2 linked regions of the Cricetulus griseus genome follow. The protein of the gene in region 1 purifies or fractionates together with the protein of each later gene. This does not show direct contact. Links are inferred from orthologs where the notes say so. Each region holds a gene or a part of one and is shown in the gene's direction. Other genes may lie near its edges.

Region 1 (6,038 bases):
TCTTGTTGAGGCAGGTTACTTAAACAGTTTGTGGTTTTTCCATTCATTAGGAATTCATCTTGGCATTGACAACGCTTCACTGGTCGTTATGATGCCAAGCATCGTTGTTGCTTACGGGTTTGCCCGTGAGGTGGCTTTCCCTCTTTCCCTCTGCTGAGGATGACTTAGGCATTCACTGGAGGACCTCTCCTGAGGTTTCCCTTCCTGCCTGGAATGCAAGACAAGCTCTCCCCATTCCTGTTGACTTCTTCACAGTCAGAATTACTCATCAGCAATTGAAAACTGAGTAATACTAGGTGGGAACCAGTTACCACATTTCCCCTAGAACAGACCCAGAATTGCCTTGCAGCAGATATCGATCGATGAAAGGAAATGTAGTTAGTAGAGAAAGCGCACTCCAAGAGATCATCTCAAGTGGCCAATGCAGGATACTTGGAATCAAAGAGCATCCTTTTTCTGGTGGTCTATCATGCGCGTTGGCACACAGGTTGATGAAAGACTTTAGAAAAGGTAATTTAGCAGACATAAAACCAAGGAAATTTGCCTTTTGGAAGATCTTTAATCTCATGGTGAATAATAGCTAGCATAAGTGATGTTTATCACACTTGCTGTCCCTAGTTAAAATTGATCCTTTTATTTTTACAACGTATGACTAATCACCCTTATTTGATCAGTATAATACATGCAAGCATTGAAATATCACATCATTAGCATATGGTCATCACATGCTAGTCAAAATAGTTAATTCAAAAACTGGATTGCCTTTTGTCCCCATCAGCAAGGGCCCAATCTGCTGATGTCATTGCTCTTTCCATGTCTTCTTTCCAGCCAGATGATCAGGTGTTTTGGGGTGTCATTCTCTATCCTCAGACACGTGTTTCCTCTTCATCTTCCCCCGATCCCATGTTCCTGCCTCCTGGTAGCCATTTTTTAAATTTATCTTCTGCCCTTTCCAGTGTGCTATGCAAGGGTTTGTGTATGGATGCTTAGGTAAAAAACATCCTTCTCAGTTTATGGCGTGTGAATTTCATACCTGCTGCCTTGTGTTAGTTACTCAATTCTTTAGCAAGAAGCAACTATCGTCTGTTTGATTTTTCTTTACAATAAAATACAGGAGGTTGGCAGATTTTGAAACTGATCTATTAGTTGTTAACTTAAAAAAAAGTCTAGTCATTTTGTCAAAACCCATCTCCTCTCACAGTTAAGCATATCTTTCTGGGCAGGCGTCCTTTAGAACTGAGGATGTAGTTTAGTAGTAGAGTGTTTACCTCCAGGCAGAATGCCCAATGCCCGGATTTGATCTCAAGCCAGCAAGAAAAACCCACTCTGGTAACGAACCTGAACCTCTAACTAAAATTTTCTACAGTTGAAAATGTTCAAAGTACTTATGATTACGGCACAACCTGTTGATAGAAATTTCATTTTCTTTTTTGTAGAGATTGATAATGACTTTACCGGCACCCACACAGATTCCTTCCTTGTGTTTATATGTAAAGTGCTCCTTCGGGTTCCCAGTCAGAGACAGCCCAGTCCTGGGAGATAATGGAATGTGGGCGAAGTTGGGAAGCAGCTTAGGACAGGGCAGAATTCCTCCTGCCGCGCCGGATGCCCATACTGGGCATCTTTGCAGACTCTTATGCTCCCTCCACCCCTGCTGAGATGATGCACTGGGAAAACATTCGCTCTCCCAGGGATGCCTCTCTGTTGGTTTATAGCTGGGAAAACGTTGCCCCGGGTCTAAAATATCTGCCCAAACAGCCTAGCGCTGATGAAGGCTTTCTCACAGGCTCTCAGCTCCCCGCGGGCGCTCCCCGCCCTCTGTTGCCAGAACCTTGGGGATGTGCCTAGACCCGGCGCAGAGCACGTCCCAGCCAACTGAGAGAAGAACAAACCACTGGCGGACAGCCAAGAGGCTCCCTCCCAGCCACCGCCCCCCCGCCCCCGCGCCAGCGCCTTTTCCCCCCTATACAATACAAGATCTTCCTTCCTCAGTTCTCTTAAATCACAGCCCAGGGAAACCTCCTCAGAGCCTGCAGCCAGCCACGCGCCAGCATGTCTGGGGGCAAATACGTAGACTCCGAGGTAGGCTTGGGTGAGGGCGCGCCGGCTCTAAAGTGCCTGCTTTTGCTATCTCCCACTCCAAATGCTCGGGCTGCTTTCCTGGCCCCAGCCCTCTCTCCACCTTCACAGCACTCCCCTCGTGCTGGCACCGCTGAGGAATGGACCTGGGTGGGGAGCTGAAGAAAAGCCAGGGGTGTTTTAAGGCTTCCTTTTGGAGAGGCGACCAATGGAGCCCACCGGGCAAAGGAGGGTCGGGGTGCCGCGTTGGTAGTCGGCCGGACTTAGAAAAGTTTTTCAGATGGCACCGTTAAGACCCCCCCCACCCCGGACAAGCCCCTACTTACTGGGAGGCTGAGAGCTGGTGCAGTGTGTGTGTGTGTGTGTGTGTGTGTGTGTGTGTGTGTGTGTGTGTTGGGGTGGCGTCATTTGGCCACAGTTCTAAGGACAGTCCCCATCAGGAGCCTAAAGTGGCTGGCCTGGGCGGTGGCGCGCGCGTGTTGCACTTTGAGCAAAGTTCTAGAGCACTTCTATAATTTCTGCCCCTGGGCGGCGGCCGGGATGGGGGGTTCCGAGGTGGGGGACCCTCCTTCCTCAACAAGTACCACCACCATTGGCAACTACTTCTTGGCACTCAGATAGCATAAAGGTGGAGACCTCGGTTCCCAAAGGTGACTACCGTTCAGCCTCGGGCAGACAGCCTGGGGGTGATCTAAGTAAGGGTGGGTCAGGGAGTCCTTCAGGTGAGATGTCTTCCAGAACATTTTGAGGGGTCGGGCATATGCCTCGGCTCAGAGATGAAAGTATGATAGCTATCCACGCACCTCATCCACCCCCACGGCCTAGGGAAAGCCGTGAAGCAAAAGGAGCTAAAGGGTAGGGGACGCGGCAGGTGCGGAGGAAGACGCAGGGAGAGACAGAGAAGATGGGACCAGCCCCTGTCTGTATGGTCCAGTGGGATCTTAAAGATAACGGTGGAAGGGATCGGGAACAGGATTAACAGGGTCAGGACGGGTCAGTGGAGCAGGTGAGGCTCTGGGGACGCGGGTGGCCTGGAGGAGAGAAGGGGTACAGAGCAGGAGGAACGCGAACCCCCTGGGCTGGGGAGTCGCTGCCAGGAGCTGCAGGGAGCAGGAGGGCGAGCATGGGGCTTCGCCCTGACCCCTGGCGGCCGGCGAGGGAGGCAGGCGCTCCCTGCCTGGTACCGAGGGGTGTGGTGTCCTTCCCTCCGTCCTCTTAAAAAGCTTGCGGCACTGGAGTTTTCTGTGCGCAAAGCCTTCAGGGTTGAAGTTAGCCGAGACTTGGAGCTCCAGGCTCCCCCGACAACAGGCTGACTTCTGACGCTTGTTTTTCTTTCTGAACTTTTTTCCCACTGCCTTTGCCATCCTCCCCTGGCTTGGCCGGCTGCCTTCACAGGGACATCTCTACACCGTTCCCATCCGGGAACAGGGCAACATCTACAAGCCCAACAACAAGGCCATGGCAGACGAGGTGAATGAGAAGCAAGTGTACGACGCGCACACCAAGGAGATTGACCTGGTCAACCGGGACCCCAAGCATCTCAACGATGACGTGGTCAAGGTAAGCCATGGTGGCTGTCTGGGTCCCACAACCCTTCTCTCTCAAGTAATTGGGCGTCCTTTCATAGCTTTGTCACACTGGCACTGTTTCCTAGGCTTGGCTGTATGTGAACCCCTGGTCCCTTGTCAGAAAGGTCTCATCTGCCTTGCCTCCTCCTACTAGCTAGTTGAACAGAAATTTAGCTAAAGTGAGCCTTGTGGGAGTTCACAGAACCTCAGCCACAGGTGGGCCCCCACATTACTTGGGAAAAGAAGATGACTGTGGTCCATTGCCAGGTTAATAGTCCAGTGACAGGTAAATAATAGTGTGCACCACGGTGAAGGTCAGAATACAGTATAAGCATATTCCTTCAGCTAAAGCAATCTAAAGTGATTAGATTAAAAATAATAAATGAGTGGAAATGCTTAAAACTATCTTATATGTATATATTTTGTATGCAATTGCATATATATAATATACATATATATGAATAGGGTTTTAACTATAAAAACACAGCACATGTACAAGGCTAAGCCAATTTACCAAACTGAAAATAATTTCCACCTCTTAACTTCTGGATCCCTCTAGTTAGATGTGGAAAGATGCATCTGTGGTGACAGCCAAGGTCAGCCTGCCCTGGGCTAGCAGAACATTCAGGTTGGCGTTCCATTTTACACTTTGAGGATATACTTGCTGGGGTTTAAAATACATTACTTTCCTGGGTTGTTGGCCGAATGTAGACTTGACACAGTGGTCTGATTTTCATTATCATTTTGTTATTCAACTTTGACCCTTTTAGCAATTCTAGCTCAAGGAATTTATTGTCTGAGTCCGTGTGGGTTGAGAAATACTGGACTTGAGCTGTCCTTGGCAGAGGATTTCCTCTGAGTGGCCTGGAGGGCCAAGGAAAATCCTGGCCTCGGGGTTCCAGTGGGAAGGAAGCCCCTGTCCTGCCCAGCCGCTAATGCAGGCACCACTGAGGAGCTCATGGAGTTTCCACCCACAGACTCCTATCTATGGATGGGAGGAGCTCCAGTGCAGTTTCACCTTTATGAATAATATATTTTAGAAAGGGAAATGGTTTAATCTACAACTGGAGGGAAAGTGTACCTGTGAAAATTCACTCTCTTGTTTTGCTGGTAGAGAGAAAAGGAAAATTGACTGCTTTCTCCTGGCCAGATTGTGGAATACTTAAAACTAGAGATGAAGGCATCCCATAAACTGGAAGTTAAGCTTGCTAAAATCTGTTTGTTAGCCACACTTCCCTAAAGGGGAAAAGACATTTTGCTTCTCAACCTTCTTGTGCTGCCTGCTTTGGTCAAGGAGGGGGACTCAAAGGATAAAAGCAGATTCCAGGATCTCAGATCAGCTCCCTGTTTGTTGCCCTGTTCTCGGAGCAGGATTCCCTGGAGCAGACCGGCCTCCTGGGATGAGTCAGAGAGGCCAGCAGTGTGGATGTGGGCCTCCACACAGCATGACTAAGTGGAGAAAGCAGGCCCCACTGGGAAAAAGACTTCAACACAGATGGAAAAAAAGGCATGGCAGGCTCGGAGGAAATAGCAGTTTACAAAATACCATTTCAAGGGCAAGTGTGGGGAAACCTCAAACTAGAGAAATTAGAGGAGTTACATTAGTGCCTACCTACTTGCTCACAGAACCAGGAGCAAATCCAGCAGACAAGAAAAACCCACCTTGAGAAAAGAATGTGACAGGATTTAGGCAGAAGCCCCGCCTAGGAGGATGTCTTCAGAAAACACTCCCTCTGCGAAGAGAGACCCAGGCTGCCCCTGCACAGTCTGCTCCTCCCCTCTCCTGCACTAGTACCTAGAAAATTTCCACCATCCTAGAACTCTCTGCTGGACAGTGTCTGGCAAGAGAGTCCCCGGCTCTTCACAAATACCTTCATATCAAGATGAAAAACACAACTAAACAAACCCTCTATGTAGAGAAGAAACGAGGCCCAAATTTAAAGTATGAAGAACAGCACGGTTCATTGTCCACATCCTTTCAGGCCTACACATCAAGTATGGAGGCGTGGCAAGCCTCCAAAGGCTGTGTGCTCTGCACTTGAGCTTCAGTAACACACAGCATAATTACCCAGTCCACTGGTGACAAGAGTATCAGTTTAAGTATAGAATTGATTGCCAATAAAAATCATTTTCTTGTAGAGCTTTGCCATCCCACGTAGTGATTTTTCTGCATATATACATTTACCCCAAAATACTGTGATTTAAATATTTTCTTAAATTTCTTCTGCCGAAGTGGTTAAAACTCAGAGGCACAATTCTTCCTCTAACATGTCTAGGTTCATTCCTATGCCTATTACATATGACTAGAATTTGAAAATAAATAAAATGCTTTAAAATGCAAGATTCTTATATCTTACTAGTTACCAATCAACCTGTCACATTGGGATGTTA
Region 2 (6,225 bases), on another chromosome or scaffold:
GGGAACCATTAGAACTTACGGGCCAGTGGATCCTAAAGAATGGTACAGCTACTATAAAGTAGATGGAATAGCTCCCTTCAGGTTCCTTTTCTGCTGGGGATCCAAGCCAGTGCTCTGTGTGTGCTAAGCAAGTGCTAAACACCAAAACTTACATCCCCAGCCTTTCCTCCTCCTTAAATGAAATTCAGATGCACATGTATTACACATGTGTCATGTTCTTATTATGTGCCAACAATTCTTTAGGTACTTTGTGTGTCCTGTCATTTAAAGAATAAGATTTCTGGACTGGCCAGGATGAATGGGTAATAGGGATGATCATGTTGGACCTTATTGTCTGATTTGGGACTGTTGAGGTTGGGAATTATCTGAAGGTTGAGGTGAAGAACTGGTAGAATCTAACTAGATACCCTATGGACTGCTGTGTTGAGACTAGAAAGATAGCAAAAAGTTAAATAGTAATAATATTTTTGAGTGTGTTTCCTCATTTAAAGTAAGATTTTAGTAGGCCTGGTAGCCTAATGGATAAGACATTGGCCTCCTAAAATAAGACTTTAGGGGGTGGAAAGTTGTCTTAGTGGTTAACAGCATTTACTGTTCTTACAGAGGACCTAGGTTTGATTTCCATCACCCACCTGGTGGCTCACAACTCTAACTCCAATTTCAGGCAATCTGGTGCCTTCTTTTGACTTCTGTGGCATCCCGCATGCATGTGATGCACATATATACACTCAGATACACACACGTAAAAACATTGAAAATATGACTATATGTACTATGAAAATAAAATAAAGCAATAAAATTATTTTTATAATGTATTATGCAAGAATTACTAATGGTTCATATGTATAATTTTGATATAAATGCATTATCTGTTCTTGATAATTAATTTCTTTTTTAAACAGAATCTACTTGCCCTTACAGGTTCATTGGCACCTGCTTTGCTTTGTTCTGGTACATCTTCTCCTTAGCACATGTGGCCATCTTTGTCACAAGGTTTAGCTATGGAGAAGAACTGCAGTCCTTCGTTGGAGCTGTGATTGTTGGGACGTACAACGTCGTGGTTGTGATTGTGCTTACAAAGCTGCTGGTAGCCATGCTTCACAAAAGCTTTCAGTTGATAGCAGTAAGTGGTCTTTCAAAGCTTTATATTCTCGCCAAATCACATAAAATGTATGAAATCAAATAACTGAAGATTGCAGAATTAAGGAATAGTATTTTTAAATTAAATATAGATTTTAAAATGTAATGTCTAATAATTTGCACATCTTGGACCAATTTTTTAATCTATAAGGTGTGGTGACATTTAGGCAGTTTTAATCAGTATCTCCCCAACCTGCCCATATCATCTACCTTTGTGTTTGTGTTCTTATTCTATGCTGCTTTTTCCTTACCTATAGAATCATGAGGATAAAGAATGGAAGTTTGCTCGAGCAAAGCTGTGGCTTAGCTACTTTGATGACAAATGTACACTGCCCCCGCCTTTCAACATTATTCCTTCACCAAAGACTATCTGCTATATGATCAGTAGTCTCAGTAAGTGGGTTTGCTCTCATACATCAAAAGGCAAGGTCAAACGGCAAAACAGTTTGAAGGTGAGAAATTAAATGGTTTGAATTGCACCACAGTTTTACAGTTGCTAATTTCACTTTTATTTTTCTGAGATGGAGTCTTACTGACTATATAGCTGTGGCTGGCATGGAATTTTCTATGTAGACCAGGCTGGCATCAGTTTGCAGCAATCCTCCTGTCTGGCTACCATGGGCTGGGATGATGGGTGTATGCTACCATAACCAATACAGATGTTTGTTGCAGAATACTTGATCACACTGTGATTGATCACACCCCTAGATTTCATTATTTACTGGAAAAACATGTTTCTAGTTGTGGTATGGCTTAGCCCTGGCACACACCTTTAACACAAGAGCTTTCTGCTTGAATATTTTAAACAGGATTAAATAAAGCCATCCATAGGTCAAAAGGCAGAGCAAGCAACCAGTTGACAGGAAGTCTTGTTTGTGACCCTGTAGGAGAAAGTGGGAAGGCTTCTGGGATGTTACCTGAGAAAAAAAGGTCATCTGGGTGCTTTCAGGTTTTCACCCCAGCATCTGGACCCCAAATCTTTTTGGCAAAATCAAACAATTGAGGTTTTGTTAAAGACCTACAGATGTTTCTTAAAGCACAAATATGCTGCATTGATAAGGGCTATGCTGACATGTTTTCCACTATATCCCTAATGAATGCGGAAGTATCTAATATAAAGATTCAACAAATAATTGAGAATAAGAAAGAAAACTAAGGATTTGGAGGTTGGTTTTGGTTCTTTTCTTAGTTTTTAAATTTCCCTAACACATGAACTCTTATCCCATAGTCTTTCACTATAGATTTAAAGAACGACTATTAGTTCATAGTGTTTTGGGGTCTTGAAAATTACTCAGTGCTGCTTGTAAACTGGGGATTGGTATGTTTCCTAAAACACCAAAGGGTAATATTTTATACTTTGCAAGCCAAATAAAACAAAAAACACCATCTAGGAAGTTATATAAGAGAAAATTTTTCCAAAAACCTTGTAGATGAAATTAAAAATGTAAGTAGCAGTCGTGGTAATAAATTACTAGGAAAAGCAATTCCCTGTGGGAGAGTGAAAATTTTGCTTAATTAGAGTTAAATTAAGATGCCCATATAAATTTGATTACAGATATTCATTTGTAAAGCCATTCTTAGCTCACAATGTCAGAAAGACAGGAAGTTGGCTATTGATTTGGAGTGGTAGTTTGTGAATCTCTGTTGTAGACTGAGCATTACAAAGACTACATTTTTTCAATGTAATTGCCTAAAGTAGAGTGAATGAAACAGATACACAGGCTATATTTTTAAACATGTACTGAATATGATTTTTACCAAAGTAAACTGTCCTCTAAATGCATTGAAAATGTGTACCCATTAATGTATTTAAAATTTATCTCATTTAAATATTGTCTCTGAGGCTGGAGGATAGTTTGATTGCAGACATTTGCCTAGCATGCATGTGGCTCTGAGCTCATTCCTTAGTACTGCAAATATATATCTATATATGAGTGTATATACATGTTTCCTTACATATGTATGCATGTACTTACACATACATTGCTGTCATTATTACCATGTGATTGCTTGTTTCAAAGGAGTGGAGAAACTTGAAACAGAAGAGAGACGAGAACTACCAGAAAGTGATGTGCTGCCTAGTGCATCGTTACTTGACATCTATGAGACAGAAGATGCAGAGTACAGACCAGGCAACCGTGGAGAATCTCAATGAACTGCGCCAAGATCTGTCAAAATTTCGAAATGAAATAAGGGATTTGCTTGGCTTTCGGACTTCTAAATATGCTATGTTTTATCCAAGAAATTAATCATTTTCTAAATCTTGTAGAAATAATTTTCCATAACAAATCTGAAAGATTGTATTTATAGTTAAACTAATAAAATATATATGGACATAAGCAATTACACAAAAGCCATTCTATAAATATTTATAGTATAAATATATGTAATGTAAAATATGTATATAGAGTTAGTTTTTTAAAAACCTGTCTGTGGCTTTTTGTAGAAGCAAAACAGAGTAAGTAAACAGTTTTGTTAGCATGCTATTTGATTTTCGTAGCTTGTCAGTGCTTAAGATTTGTAATGTTTAGGAGGGGCAGCTACCAGTGTACACATTGCCCACTCCCTTTTATAAAATGAAGATCACCAAATGCAGCTACCTTAAGAGACACTTGAAATGTCAAGTTCATGGTGTTTAAAATCTCTTGTTTTAGGAGTTCACACAGAGTTCAGTATTTATTGTTTAAGAGTATAGTTTTATCTAAAATACCCTATTTTTCTTTTGTTATAATCTTAAGCAACAAAGAAAAGTCTCTAATAAATATTTGAATTCAAGCCAGACATGATGGTACAAGTCTTTAGCCCCAGCACTCGGGAGGCAGAGGCAGGTAGATCTCTGAGTTCAAGGCCAGTCTTGTGTACAGAGTGAGTTCCAGCCAGGGCTACACAGAAAACCCTGTCTCAAAAACAACAAAAAATTAATATTTAGTTCTGTTAATCTAAATTCACCTTGATTTTGTTGTGTAATATATTTACTTTTACATGGTTATAATGATTTTATATTTTTAATTTTTTACTTAATATTTTATATATAGTTCTCTATATTGAGGTAATTCATGTATTTAAATATTTATAGAATTCTGTGATTTTTGAAAAATAGTAGACATCTTTTAGCCATAGAATATTTGTTCATATTTATGCATTTGCAAAGTTACTTCTCTAGGCATTTGGTTAGTTTTAACTTTTCCTTCTAATTTTTCAAGTTTGAATAAGTTACAAAGTATAAACTACTTGTCTTCATGTGTGGTCACAGTGGGCTTGGCTGGAGAGCATCAGGGGCCTTGAAAAAAGCTCCTTTAAGTTCATGCAGGTTCTTGAGCTCTCTTCTGAAGTATTAGCCATAGAGTTCAACATAGCTTCTAGAAAAGTGACTTTGTGCCTCCTGCTTGAGATGTAAAGCTTTGTTCTTTCAATTTGAAAATATAAAGTGTATTTGACCTCTTTTCAGTGTTCATATAAGGGCAGCTGAAGGCTTCCCCAGCTATTGTGTAGACATTCTTGCGGCATTCAGTGAGCAATGCACATGGTTACTTTCTTAGCCCAATGTCAGCTGGCCTTGAGGGTGTGAGGGTGCAGGCAGCCCTTGGTCTGTGATTTTTCACCTACCCAGGTGGCATCTGGGTAATCTAGTGTTAGGTTTCATCTTGTTTTTTGCATTTGTTTTTAATGTTCAAGTTTAAGTGTTCCCTCTTTTGGGTAAATTCTTACAAAAATGTTTATTGTAAAGCTATATATTTTGTCTACAATGGAATTATGCACTTCCCAATTGGGATTTTACATCAGGATTTTTAGTCATTCTAAAAAAACCTAATTATTAAAAAAATTTATAGAGTGCCTATTGTGTGCATGAATTACTGATGAAGTATATTTTGAATGACAGCATACTGTAAGAAAAAAGTGAATAAAATTTGACATTAGATTATAAAATGATAGAGCTTTAGTATTTTGCTTACTATTATTTGCTTTTTATTTTTTAATTACTTTATTTTATGCCTGTGAGTATTTTGCCTGTGTATATCTGTTTACCATGCATGTGCTTGGTACTCACAGAAGCCAGAAGAAGGTGTTGGATCCCCTGGAACTGGAGTAACAGACAGTTGCGAGTTACCATGTGACTGCTGGGGACTTGGAAGTCTTGGAAGATGGCTCAGGGCGTACAGTGCTTGCTCTGCAAGCAAGAGGACATGACTTCAGATCCCCAGCACCCACATAAAAGCCAGACATGATAGTGTAAACATGTGACCCCAGCACTTTGGGAATTGAAGAATGTGGACCCCAGGGTTCACTGGACAGCCAGTCTGGCTAAAGTAGTGATCCAGGCTCAGTAAGAGAGCCCATCTCAGAAAATAAGGTAGAGAGTGATAGAGGAAGTTACTGTGCATTGACTTCTGTCTGACCTCCACATATGCATAGTCAAGAAAATGAAACAACACACACAATATATATATATATATATATATATACATATATATATATATATATACATACATACACACACACACACACACACACACACACACACACACACACACCCCTCCAGTTGAACACCTCTGGCCTCCATATGCATATGCAACCATGAACACATACACAAAGAGAAAAATTACACTAAGAAAATACTGGGGATAATAGCTGCTCTGAATTTCTCACTGGTAAGTCAATGTCCCCTTTGTGGCATCACACCCTCCCACAATGTGTCAACATACTGTTTCTAGAGGACATTCTTAGAAGACTTTCATTTGATAATTTCACATTATTTCCTTTATTCTGTTTTTTATCTGCATTTGAAGATGAACACCAGCTACACCACACAAAAATTGGGAAATATTTTATGTTCTCTTTGTATGCTTTAATGTAGCCATTTGCAAGACAGATGGTTTCTGATGCATATTAAACTATAGGAACACAACAAGTAAAACAGCAGGCTTATTTTTTAAAGTGTCCTAGGCAATCAAAATTACAGACAAGCTCCATTCTCTTCATCCTGGAATTAGCAATCAATTCATTCTCTGCTTTTCTCCACCAAGAAGGTTGTTTAAGGGGCCCATGAAATGGCTCAGCAGGCCCCCAGAATCAGACCCCCAGAAT

The links. The genes of interacting proteins can lie anywhere in the genome.
Region 2: the proteins of Cav1 (region 1) and Trpc1 purify together in Homo sapiens (affinity purification with western blotting; 3 studies listed by BioGRID and IntAct, with this or other methods). This does not show direct contact. The link is inferred for Cricetulus griseus from reciprocal best matches to the Homo sapiens genes CAV1 and TRPC1.

Annotation. Positions count from the first base shown.
Region 1 is NW_023276806.1:209,232,481-209,238,518, reverse strand, and holds the start of Cav1 (caveolin-1), read left to right. Parts: upstream 1-1,943; 5' UTR 1,944-2,052; coding exon 2,053-2,082; intron 2,083-2,598; exon of another isoform or gene 2,599-2,729; intron 2,730-3,474; coding exon 3,475-3,639; intron 3,640-6,038. UniProt on the Homo sapiens protein: May act as a scaffolding protein within caveolar membranes. Forms a stable heterooligomeric complex with CAV2 that targets to lipid rafts and drives caveolae formation. Mediates the recruitment of CAVIN proteins (CAVIN1/2/3/4) to the caveolae.
Region 2 is NC_048597.1:204,330,749-204,336,973, reverse strand, and holds the end of Trpc1 (short transient receptor potential channel 1), read left to right. Parts: intron 1-921; coding exon 922-1,123; intron 1,124-1,397; coding exon 1,398-1,592; intron 1,593-3,161; coding exon 3,162-3,389; 3' UTR 3,390-5,070; downstream 5,071-6,225. UniProt on the Homo sapiens protein: Forms a receptor-activated non-selective calcium permeant cation channel. Forms a heteromeric ion channel with TRPC4 or TRPC5 that has reduced calcium permeability compared to the homomeric TRPC4 or TRPC5 channel.